2 linked regions of the Canis lupus familiaris genome follow. The protein of the gene in region 2 purifies or fractionates together with the protein of the main gene of each other region. This does not show direct contact. Links are inferred from orthologs where the notes say so. Each region holds a gene or a part of one and is shown on either strand. Other genes may lie near its edges.

The links. The genes of interacting proteins can lie anywhere in the genome.
Region 1: the proteins of RAB5A (region 2) and RABGGTA purify together in Homo sapiens (affinity purification with mass spectrometry; 3 studies listed by BioGRID and IntAct, counting the BioPlex papers as one, with this or other methods). This does not show direct contact. The link is inferred for Canis lupus familiaris from reciprocal best matches to the Homo sapiens genes RAB5A and RABGGTA.

The regions. Positions count from the first base shown.
Region 1 is NC_049229.1:4,368,808-4,374,528, forward strand, and holds the end of RABGGTA (geranylgeranyl transferase type-2 subunit alpha), read right to left. Parts: coding exon 5,525-5,721; intron 5,215-5,524; coding exon 5,131-5,214; intron 5,044-5,130; coding exon 4,961-5,043; intron 4,873-4,960; coding exon 4,771-4,872; intron 4,664-4,770; coding exon 4,558-4,663; intron 4,468-4,557; coding exon 4,416-4,467; intron 4,250-4,415; coding exon 4,161-4,249; intron 4,008-4,160; coding exon 3,919-4,007; intron 3,817-3,918; coding exon 3,700-3,816; intron 2,876-3,699; coding exon 2,762-2,875; intron 2,493-2,761; coding exon 2,405-2,492; intron 1,805-2,404; exon of another isoform or gene 1,461-1,804; coding exon 1,312-1,460; 3' UTR 1,246-1,311; downstream 1-1,245. UniProt on the Homo sapiens protein: Catalyzes the transfer of a geranylgeranyl moiety from geranylgeranyl diphosphate to both cysteines of Rab proteins with the C-terminal sequence -XXCC, -XCXC and -CCXX, such as RAB1A, RAB3A, RAB5A and RAB7A.
Region 2 is NC_049244.1:23,814,217-23,819,928, forward strand, and holds the end of RAB5A (ras-related protein Rab-5A), read right to left. Parts: intron 5,181-5,712; coding exon 5,087-5,180; intron 1,427-5,086; coding exon 1,311-1,426; 3' UTR 1,284-1,310; downstream 1-1,283. UniProt on the Homo sapiens protein: The small GTPases Rab are key regulators of intracellular membrane trafficking, from the formation of transport vesicles to their fusion with membranes.

The sequences.
Region 1 (5,721 bases), on a different chromosome or scaffold from region 2:
CATGGGCCACTGCAGAGAAGACAGTGACAACAGGGTGGGCCAGATGACACAAGGAAGCAGAGCTGAGGAAGGGCAGAGTTTGGTGATGCATCGGGCTAGGAGGGGCCTCGGGGAGTGGGGACTGAGGCTCCAGGACCTGGCAGGGAGCCCTTCACACCCGCACTGACCTATGCCTGCCCAGCTCCAAGCCACAGATCTGGCAGGGAGTCCACCTCCACCTCTAACACTCTCAGGGAACGCACAAGTACAAATCAAAATTCCAAGCAGGTGTCAGGTGGGTCAGCCAAAGGGCTTTGCTGAGGTTGCCTGCCTGTGCATCACTAAGAACATGGGAAGGGGCAGGGCCCCCGTAGGTTCCCAGAGAGCTGGGAAATGCCCTGTCATACTCTCCCCCTTCTGTTTCCCTTTCCCCACCTAACCAGTTTTGACTCAGTGCCCTAGCCCCTGAGCTGCTCCCCTCTCCTCCCTTCAGGAGACTCAAGTGCCTCAGGGCTTTATAGTCGGGGTGGGGGGGGCACCATGGGAGGGAGCAGACACCCAGCTCAGTGCCTGGGTGTGGAGGCCAAGCTCTGCCCATCACTCTGCATCAACACGGAAGAAAGGGCACAAGTCTGGAATCCCCGACCAAGGTGCAGAGACAGCTGGAGCTGGGGCTTCGGCACGCAAGCCCAGCAAACTTGGGCATGCCCTAATAGCGGCTTCCTCGTTAGTACAATGGGCCTGACCATCTCATCCCTGAGCACTTGGGAGGGCCAGCTGAGATGGAGGATTTTTGAGGGCTCTTCAACCGCAGGATGCTACTCCAGAGGACAAATGCTGTTGTAACCCGTGGGTGGAGCATGGACACTCTGGTCAGCTCCTCATGGGAATGGCTTTCTGAGCTGTGGTGAATGAGCCAGGGCACAGAAGGTATCTGGAAGGGGCAGGAGTCACGGGAAAACTTTTCTGAGTCCTTCTAATTAGACTTACAGCTGCTTTGTAGCCCGGCCCCAACCAGAACCTGAACCCAAACCCAATCCCAGTCCCAGCCCCAACTAGAAGGTAAACTCAGATTTTGCCGATTCTGCCCCAGCACCGAGACTTTGGTTCCCCGTGGTAAGAACAGCTGGATTTGACATAAGATGAAAGTGTGAGAGAAAGCTGACACACCCTAACTCTCTCCCTTTCTCTTCCAGAACAGATGGCAGAAGGAATGGTGGTGATGGTGGTGATGGTGGTGGCGGTGGCAGCAGCAGCGTAGCAGCCTGAGGGAGCCTCTCCATTGTTTATTCAGTCCCAATAAGTTAAAGAACGAGGGCAGAGAAGGGTCTCCTAGACAAGGATGCTGTTAACCAAAGGCAAGAGCTCAGCCAGGTACTCAGAGGTGCCCACTGCTTGGCACAGGGGGTTGCCCTGCAGGTTGAGGAGGACCAGCCTGGGGCAGGAGGCAAGAGGCTGGAGCACCATGCGCTGCTGGAGGCCTTGGGCAGGAGAGTCAAGGAAAGCGTGCCAGGTTCCCCCAGACCCACGTGCTCCCGGGTGCCCATCACCAACTTCCCTCAAGAATGGGGACTGCTGCCTGGAAGTCTGGCTGACAGGCATCTTGCACATTTCCCTGGACGGAGTAAGGCTCCAGACTGCAAACCCCTGCCCATGGGGCCAGGCAGGAAGCCCAGAAGGCGGGCAGGCGTGGTATATATACTAAGGCCTGCTTTAACTTTCTTTTTGTTTTTGTTTTTTTTGTTTTTTTTTTTTTTAAGTAGACTTCACACCCTACATTGGGCTTGAACTCAAGACTCAGATTAAAAGTCATATGCTCTACCAACTGACCGAGCAAGGCCTCCCTAACCTCTAATTTTTTTAAGTAAAATCAGAATTCTAGATTTTTTAAATACAAAACTTCTTGATTTTTAAAATACTATGTGTTGGGATCCCTGGGTGGCGCAGCGGTTTAGCGCCTGCCTTTGGCCCAGGGCGCGATCCTGGAGATCCGGGATCGAATCCCACGTCAGGCTCCCGGTGCATGGAGCCTGCTTCTCCCTCTGCCTATGTCTCTGCCTCTCTCTCTCTCTCTGTGTGACTATCATAAATAAATGAAAAATAAAAAAAATAAAAAAAATAAAAAAAAAAAAAAGAAAAAAAAGAAAAAGAAAAAAAAATAATATTTTAAAAAAAAAAAAAATACTATGTGTTATCCAAGAGTATCTGCAGGGCGCTGGTTTGTGAACTCCAGCTTGAAGAAGTCACTCCCACCTGGCAAAACCACCAGCGCAACTCAACGATGCCCCACATAGCCCCAGGCTACCTCTCCTTAGTTGAGACTGCCAGACCCCCCTTTCCCACTCACCCCGCTGGCTGGCTGTCCCTTCCCAGCGTGGCACCTCATCCCTCCCACTGTCTGAAGGGCCCTCAGAAGGAAGGATACGGTTGTTACACAGCGAGAGCTCCTGCAGCCGGGGCAGGTTAGTGACACCGTCCAGGGACTCTATGGCATTATCATTGGCCTGCAGGACCTGAGGAGCAGGGAGGGCAAGGAAGTCAAGGCAGGGCAGGCAGCTGTCAGCCTGGGACTGGTGTAAGCAAGCAGGGGGGAGCTCAGGGCGATCAGCTTACAGTGAAGGGAAAGGCTGCTGGGGGCAGGTCAGGTCACGGGGACAGAGAAAGCAAGGGATCACCTGCAGGGGCAGGGAAGATGTGGACAGCTCTTTGGAGGGTGGGCCAACTTCAGAGGGAGAGGAGAGGGAAAAGGACCACCCAGGACAGTGGTGGAGGAGTGCTTTACCTCAAGGCAGCGCAGGGCAGCCAGGGCAGGGGGCAGGGCTCGGAGACGATTATGTGACAGGTCCAGATGAGTGACCAAGAGCAGCTGTTCCAGATGACAGAGTACCGTCAGATCCTAGGGAGGAGGATGAGACACCCAGGGAGACTTGGAGGAGGGTCCCCAGCCATTGCTCACGCGGCACTTACCCTCTGGGTCCCACACAGGCCCTTGGGGGCACTGGCCGAGGACAGGACAGAGCAGGTGAGACGCTTACCTTACGACCCTCAGCAATACACGCTCTGCATCAAAGACAAGGGACAGATGAGGGAGTGCTGGGGTGGGGTGGCTGGCAGGTGGATGGGGGGAGGCAGCCTAGAGTGGAGGCAGGTACAGGGGATGGCAGAGGGTGCTGGGGTAGGCACAGCCGCTGCCAGAAGCAGACCTGCTGAGTCTGGGGGGTCCGTCTGGGGGCAGTGGAAGGCTGCAAGGATATGACCAAACTGCTGCAATGGAAACACTGACTGGGAAAGACTACAAAGCAGGAAAACAGCCCGGGAAGTTTGTCAAACATCTCTGGAAGTTACCCAGCTTCGGGTGCTGGGGCCTGCTCTAGGGAGAGAAGCATCGGAGCGGGGGGTGGGGGTTTCAAGGAGGGCTCACTGGGAGGGAAAAATGAAGATGTGACTGGTCCCAGAGAAGAGGGTGGCATGAGGAGGCCCTGCTGACTCAGGATTTGAGACTGGGTAGCACGAACGATGGGGCAAGTGACAGAAGGCAAGATGAGGAAGGGGGATAGGCTTGAAGGGAGATGAATGCCATCTTGGTTAGGAACAAAGCCTAGAAAGGCACCTGAGACTGAGGCCAAAGCCAGGGGCACGGTGAGGCCAGAGTGCCTCAGCTCAAGCCCATGGAGCAGACACCAAAGCTGGCCAGGTCAGGAGGAAGAAGGCAGTCCATACCTTGTGACCGAGGTGCAGCACGCGCACCTCGGCGTACTCCATCTTGAGCAAGCTATTCTCTAGCAGGAACTTGCTGCGCAGGTCATCCAGGTACGCTGCCCGCATCGGGTCCACAGCCTGGGGGGGAGGGGGATGACAAGAAAAGCCCATCAGTTGTCTTCCTGCCACTCACTGGGCCTCTCCTGCAACCCCTGTCCTGTTCCCACAGGCCTGACTTGCCTTGAGGGTCTGGAAATACTGCAGTGTCTCTTTCTCATACAGCAGGGGGTCCAGTGCCCGCATCAGCAGGATGATGGTGAGCAGGCACCCTGAGGAGATGGTGAGGAAAAGGACTGTCTCTTCTAGATCCTCCTGTGCTCCCATCTCTTGAGACCCTTCCTGCTCTCCCCGAGAAGCCCTCCTGGAAAAGGACCTCCTCAGAAGAGCAGGATCTCAGGGAATGGTAGGGAATGGGGCCTCACACTTATTCTCAGGCTCCAGCTCCTGCAGCTCCTTACAGGATTCAAGTTCAGACTGCAGCACCGTGGACTTCTCCACTGACAGCTCACACCTGAGGATGGACAGGGCGGGGGAGGGGATGGTGTCTACTCTGGGTACCAGTCATCCCTGGTATCCAGTCTGAGACCATGTGCCCAAGCCCCCAGCCTCCCAGCCCAGTTGCCTGATGCCCAGAGTCCAGAGCCCCTCCCCTTGTCTGTGTGCTTCTCTGTCATCACCTGAAAAGCTGCTCATCCGTGGCTGAGTCCCGGCACCAGCCCTCCTGGTGGCCTGAGAACAAGAATGGGTAGTAGAAAGGGGGCCCCCGTGAGAGCAGGAGAGGGATGAAAGTGCTGCCTCAACGGGCAGAGGTTGTGTTACCTTTTAAAAGCACACACTCCTTTTGGGCATCGCCTGCTGTCCAAATGACACGAAATGTATGGTGGGGCAACTGGTCATTGAGGGAGGTGGCGGGCAAGTCACAGAGCTGGGAGCACTGGGTTAAGGAAATGCTTGAGCCTCACCACTTTTCTGACTATCCCACTCCAGCCCTGCCCCAGTTCCCCCCACTCTGCTCCTCGAATCCTGGGATACCCAGACGTGGCCAGGCCAGTTTCTGCCATCTGGGGTCCTCCATTCCACAGCCAAGGGTGACTCGTCCACCATGAGCAGCAATGTCTCTGTCCTGGGCCCCACCTGGCCCAGGGGACAAAGACAGACCTGTCAGCCCCACAGCACCAGACCCACATCCATGATGCTTTCTCGGAAAAGCTGCAGGACTCACCAGGACAGGCCGAGAGAAGGAGACAGTCAGACAGGCCTCATCTCGGCTCACGTGCAGGCAGCGCAGGGCATCCTGGGGGTCAGCTGGGGAAGACACAAACTCAGCTCCCCTTATATCCTCTTCTGTTCTTTCAAAACCCTAAAGACCCAGCCTCTTTCCCCACTGCTCACCTCTTCCCAGGAGCCAGCGGTGATAGAACCAGGCGCTCTGATCATTGGGGTCAGTGAAGAAGGCGTTCTGTACCAGCTCCAGTTCTGAAGGGGCCAAGGAGCATGGGCTATGGCCAGGACCCTGGTGGCTCCTGGCCACCCCAGCATCCCACCCTCCCCCTGGAGTGCTGCCAGCCCTCGGTTCCATTTATCTGCTGGCCTTGCACAGCAGCTGCATCTTTCCCACTGGACACTTGTGTTCCCTGCAGCCTGGGGCTGAATCTTACACACCCCCAAAGCCAGGCACAAAGTAGGTGCTCAATAAGCCCAAGCAGCAGGTTCAGGAACAGGGTTAGGTAACAAGGCTGGAAAGACAGCACCATAGTCTGCCCCAGCACCCTCTGACCCTGCTAACCTTTGAGGAGCACATCCTCAGGGAGACGTCCCTGTGGTCCAGAGTCTGGCTGGGGGTGCAGCTGGGGCAAGAGACAGGAGCGGTAATGCCAAGAGGAGTAGTTGGAAAAGTTTCGGGTAATGAGGCTGTCAGTGAAGGCTAACTCCTCTGCAGGAGGCACAGCTGCCTGAGCGGCCACAAAACGCCGGTAATCCCAG
Region 2 (5,712 bases):
TTATACCACTTTATTCCAACCTGAGCACCTCAATATAAAACTAAACACTGGTGAACTGTTTTCCTTACTAATTCTGAATTACGGTAAATGTACAAGTTCTGCTAGCAGTTCAACACTTAAATAGATTAAATCATCTCTGACACATGGTAGATTTCATATAATGAAAATACCTAAAACAATTAGTGCAATATACTGAACTGATCAAAATAAAATGAACTCTGGAAAACAAGGCTGCAAGACTGTTACTAACATACTGCAATAGTTATGTTACAAATTACTGGTACATTGTTTATTATGGTTCTAGCCATGTAGGAACAACTGAAGCCCCTTCCTTTCAAAGGGAGAGAAAAGGAAAAATTAGCTGTTTTAGTAACTGTACATTTTGTATACTTTTAAGCAACTCTTAAATATTACAGGAAAGTAATAAACATATATGGAGACTACAGTGCAGTACTCTATTTACAGTACAGCTGAAAATTGAATTTAAAATAATCAAGTTTGAATGTACATAATTGTTAGTGCATTGACTATATTATGTCCAAAGGGAACAAAGGCCCCCTCCCTGCCCCCAAACAACAAAACCTATGTAATGGCCAGCAGTGATTAAACAGAAATCACAGACACCTGGTTTGTTTCATTTCTGTTGAAGAGCTCACATGTTTGAAGGGAACACTATCAAGATGCATTCAATTTTCATATTCCTAAAACAAGATGAGGTTACGTTTGACCTTTTTTAACCCACTAAAAATACCAAGACTGGCTATAATTTAGATGCCACTAATGTTTGTGTTTTTCTCCCTGAAGATGTGGGACTGTTTTCTTGTGGCTAATCTGTTAAAATGTGGAATGTACATTTTAAATATGCATACTAAGAGAAATTACCAGTTTCCTGAATACTGTAGCTAAGCATAAATATCTTTAGAACTTCCTTCTAAAAAAAGAATGCTTTTGAAAAGCCCAAATTAATAAGTTCCAAATCTTTTACATAGAAGTGGCTGGTTAACTGTGGGTTTACATCATTTGTCTCTATCCCTGGTGATGAGAAATGATTCCCCTAACCGTCCAAGGAAACAAGCGTACACACACAGCTCTCATTCCCCCCTTCTACTTCTGAAATATTAGTCAGAGGGTCACATGCATGTTATTAAAAATTAAGTTCAAAACACTTAAAATAATTCTGTATTAGAAACTTGACTCTATCGTAAGTCTCTTCTTTTTGGAAGTCATACTGGGCTGGTTAAATGCTCCAATTCCACTGTCATTAACATTTAGGAAGCAGAAGAATATTCCAGGAAGTTCAAACTGGAGGTTTAGTTACTACAACACTGACTCCTGGTTGGCTGCGTGGGTTCAGTAAGGTCTACTCCTCTTCCTCTGGCAGAATTTGCTCCTGGATTCTGTGGTTCGTTCTTTGGCAACTTTTTAGCTGAGAGATAAATTATCAAAATAAACACAATTAGTGGATTCATATTAGAATTACTTTCATCTGCTTAATCTTTTTTTTTCCAGCTAGGTTGACCCAAACTATCACACAGCTGTATGTTCATTCTTTTCCAATTGCTTACTAAATATCTACTAGATAATACCAAATACTCTTCATTCGTCAGTCCTCAGTGAGGTTAGTGGGATAAGGGAAGGGTAAGATAGGGAACAGTTATATATAATTAAAACTTAAGTTGACTATATTTAATTTTTTACATATATTCAGTTAGCAATACCAGAATAGTAGTACTTTTATTTCATAATCTTTAATACTTCTATTGTTTAAAGAAAATCTAAGTTAATAAAAAAAAAAAGAAAAAGAAAATCTAAGTTAATAAAGATGATGGCCAGCCAATTATTTATAAAGAATCTTAGCTTGTATCAATGATCTCCGGACTGCCACATATACTTTCTGGAACAAGTCAGGATATAAACAACAAATGCCATCACTGTCACCCCAGCAGTACTGGTCCTCTATCATGCTACCTAATTATCACCCCAAATTCTGACAGATCACATCTATTTTCTTCTGGCTTACACATACTTAACTCTTCAAACATCTACCATGCTCCTCATTTATGGATGATTAAAAACCCTAATCCGATTCACTAGTAGCTCTGCCTCGTCTAAGGAAGACTTGATTCTGAAGTCTCTACTTCAAAAAATGATTTCCAGTCCTGAGCTGGATGATCTTGGCTTGTCACATTTGGACAAAGCCCTCAACTAGCAGTTATGGTTTTAGTTCTACTAAGCTTTATATAGCTAATACAGAGTGCTGGAGCCTGGATTCCACTGATTTAAAAACATACCTGTTAGATACAGTCTGCTTTGAATCTTAAAAATCCTTCATGTGCTGGATTCACTAAATATTAACTATCTCTGAGAATACTGACTGTAAGTGTACTAGATACACTATATCAACCTTGGGGAGAAGACTATTATGGGTGAATTCTAGCTTTACCTTACTATTGGCTCAGGTTACACAAAAGTTGGACATGCTCCACCTTCAATATCTAAATGTCTAGTTGCACTTTGGATCTTTTGTAATATTCCACACGAACATTAATCATCTTTAGAATCCTAGATGCTGGGCTAGGCAATGGAAGTTTGGGAAGAAAAGCCTTCACCTTCGACTACTTCTCTGGAAATGGCACTAAGGATGGAAGGGTAAATGGTAATGAAGTAGCAAATTTCCAGTCAAATACATTTTCAAACAAAGGTTTGTAGGGACAAAGAATAGGCTAACATTTATAAACTTTATTATAATTTATATTTTGGACTAAGAGATCATTTCTCTTTTCAATGGGTCTTCTGTAATTAGATCTGAGTGAAATTACGAGGTTGAAGGAAATAAACTAGAATAAGGAACTTTTAAGCTTCTATTTGGTAAACTTACACTGTGTGAAAATAAACTAAAATACAGCTTAGAAGTCTCAGAAGCAGCCCTCTATCTCTATCTCATATCTTATTTAATATTACCAAAGTAAAGCTAGTACTACTTGTTTGGTATATGGGCAATTGGAGCTTACCATCTGCCCCTGAATTAGGATCTTAAGAGGCTAAAAATCCAAATGAAGTTAATGAAGATGTGCAATGAAAGAAGTCATGTAAGCAAAATCTTATCAAATTGAAAGCAGATTATAAAATTATTGTAGACTTTCTCCTACTAAATGACTATATTCTCTTTTTTTTTTTTTTTTTTTTTTTTTTTTTTTTTAAATGACTATATTCTCTACAGGAAATCATCAAGAGTAAAAATAATGAGTGTACTGTACTGTGTGATCTAAGTTACCTATCTGGTAAACAACTAGAAAGGCCACAATTCAATTTAATGCTTGGTATTTCTTTCAAGGAAAGAAACATTGTAATTTCAGAAAAATAACTGAAAGTTCTAATATGTAGGCTATCTTCTGATTGGAAAAATATATTACCAGCACATCTAAATAAAAGGATAAAGTCCATATGCGGGTGCCTGGCTGGCTCAATCAGTACAGTGTGACTCTTGATCTCCGTGTCATATATTCAAGCACCACATTAGATGCAGATTACTTAAAAAAATAATAAGCAAGCAAGCCCATCTGGTGGTATCTTAGTACTATCAGAAAAGTTTAAAGTTCATTCAGCCTGATTTGAGGCTATTATTCCCTTGATTTCTGTTACTGGCTTTTCAGATGTGGTTCTGAATGTAATTTTGTGTTCTATTTATAAAAAGAGCACATTGTCATATAATCCTCCACAAGTATTTCCCTAATAAACTTTAAGCCTGAGTTTTTCAGTAAAATATTTTACACAACAGGCAATTTTTTTTCCTAATGAGCCTAAATGAGCTACCATTAAAACTCTCTCATCTAGTGAAAGATATTTTAACAGTACTTGTAGCATTTACTATATTTTCTTTAGCCTCTGAATCAGCTGTTAATTGGTTAATTTGTATGACTTCAATAAAAGGACTATTTCTTATTTGGGGATAAGTTTGTGGGCACCCTAGTTAATAATCATTGCCATATAATAAACATATTTTGGAATGAGAAGAGTGCTTGGTGCATAAATAGTGCAGACACAGTAAAATGCAAAAGCCACCCAAGTAGCCAATTCTCACAGAATCCTCACCTTAAGATTGTTGAAAGGAGGTTAGGATCAAGAGAAATACTTTTATTTTTGTTACAGAAAATAGGAAGCTTCCTTATTAGTGTTCCAATTTCATTACTTACAATCAACAAACGTGGAATCACAATCTTAACACATAAAATTACCTTAGGGAAAAGGTAAGAGCACTGCATAGGTTAAATGATCAGAGGTAATATGAAGCATGTTATTTTATTTTCCGTCTTTCTGTGCCTCAATAATTTGAAATTTTGTTACAATATTTGCATTATATTTGTCAATAATCAGTGATTTAAAACTAATGTGAGAAACAAAAATAGTGTTTATTCATGGCAAAATAGAGATGAAAATAGTTACTGATCAGTGAGAAAGTAATCTCTTTATGTCTTTATGTTATGCTGATAAATATTGTTCTGAGCTTATCTTCCTTTCATGTAAAAAAGATAATCTAATACAAAAACTTATTTATCCAAATTTCTCATTGAAATATTTAGAAAATCCATCTGCTTGAACTATTAGCTCAAAGTCCAGGCTTTCAATTTACCTAGAAGAGACTTAAACTGAAAAGTATTACAACTTAATAGATAATAAACAGTCTTTCAAATTTAACATTACTAACAAAGTAATTCTTGGTGGAAAGGATCTAGAATAGTAGTAGAATCATTAAAAAAATGATTACTTTTAAAAATACTTCTCAAAATTATTTACCAAAAAAGTAAGTATTTTTTTTAAAGATTTTATTTATTTATTCATGAAAGACACAGAGAGAGAGGCAGAGATACAGGCAGAGGGAGAAGCAGGCTCCATGCAGGGAGCCCGACGTGGGTCTTGATCCCAGGTCCCCAGGATCACAGCCTGGGCCAAAGGTGGCGCCAAGCTGCTGGGCCACCGGGGTTGCCCAGAGTAAGAATTTTTAAAAAGAAGACAGTCAAACCAAATATGCTACAGTGTAAGTATTATTGCCTATATCTACTGCTTGGAAAAAAATTAAAAAACTTACCTATTGCCATGAATATTTCATTTACATTCATCGATGTTTTAGCTGATGTCTCCATGAATAATAAACTGTTGTCATCTGCATAGGACTGTGCTTCCTGTTTATAAAACAAAAATATGATATATATCCTTTGCACATACTATAGCTGACTTATTTTTGTTATAGAATAAGAGGCTTCCTCATTACTACTCCAACTTGATTACCTAGAATTAGCAAATATATAATAATTAAGGTAAAAGAGGTAAGAGATCTTTTGTAGGATACCTTTTCAGTTCTTTTGCCTTAACTTCCTGCAGTATCCCCATTCTGATTCACCTAGGCTCACACTAAATTTGATTTCAAATAGTAAGTGCCAGAGGTTGGAAAACTGTCTATTCTAAACATAAAATTCTCTTTGATCTCAATGGCAAATTTTATTTATGCTTATTACTTTCAATGAAGTCAAAGGGAATCCAAATATCTAATGGCTATATTTTAATTCTTAGTATGTCATAAATCATTCCTTTAAAAATTATATTACTAGTCTACATTTTTGTCATGATTTACAGTTTGCATGTATTATTGCCTTTGATCCTCACAGTTGTGTGAAGAGCAACCAATCATCTTTCCCATTTAATGAAAAAAATGAG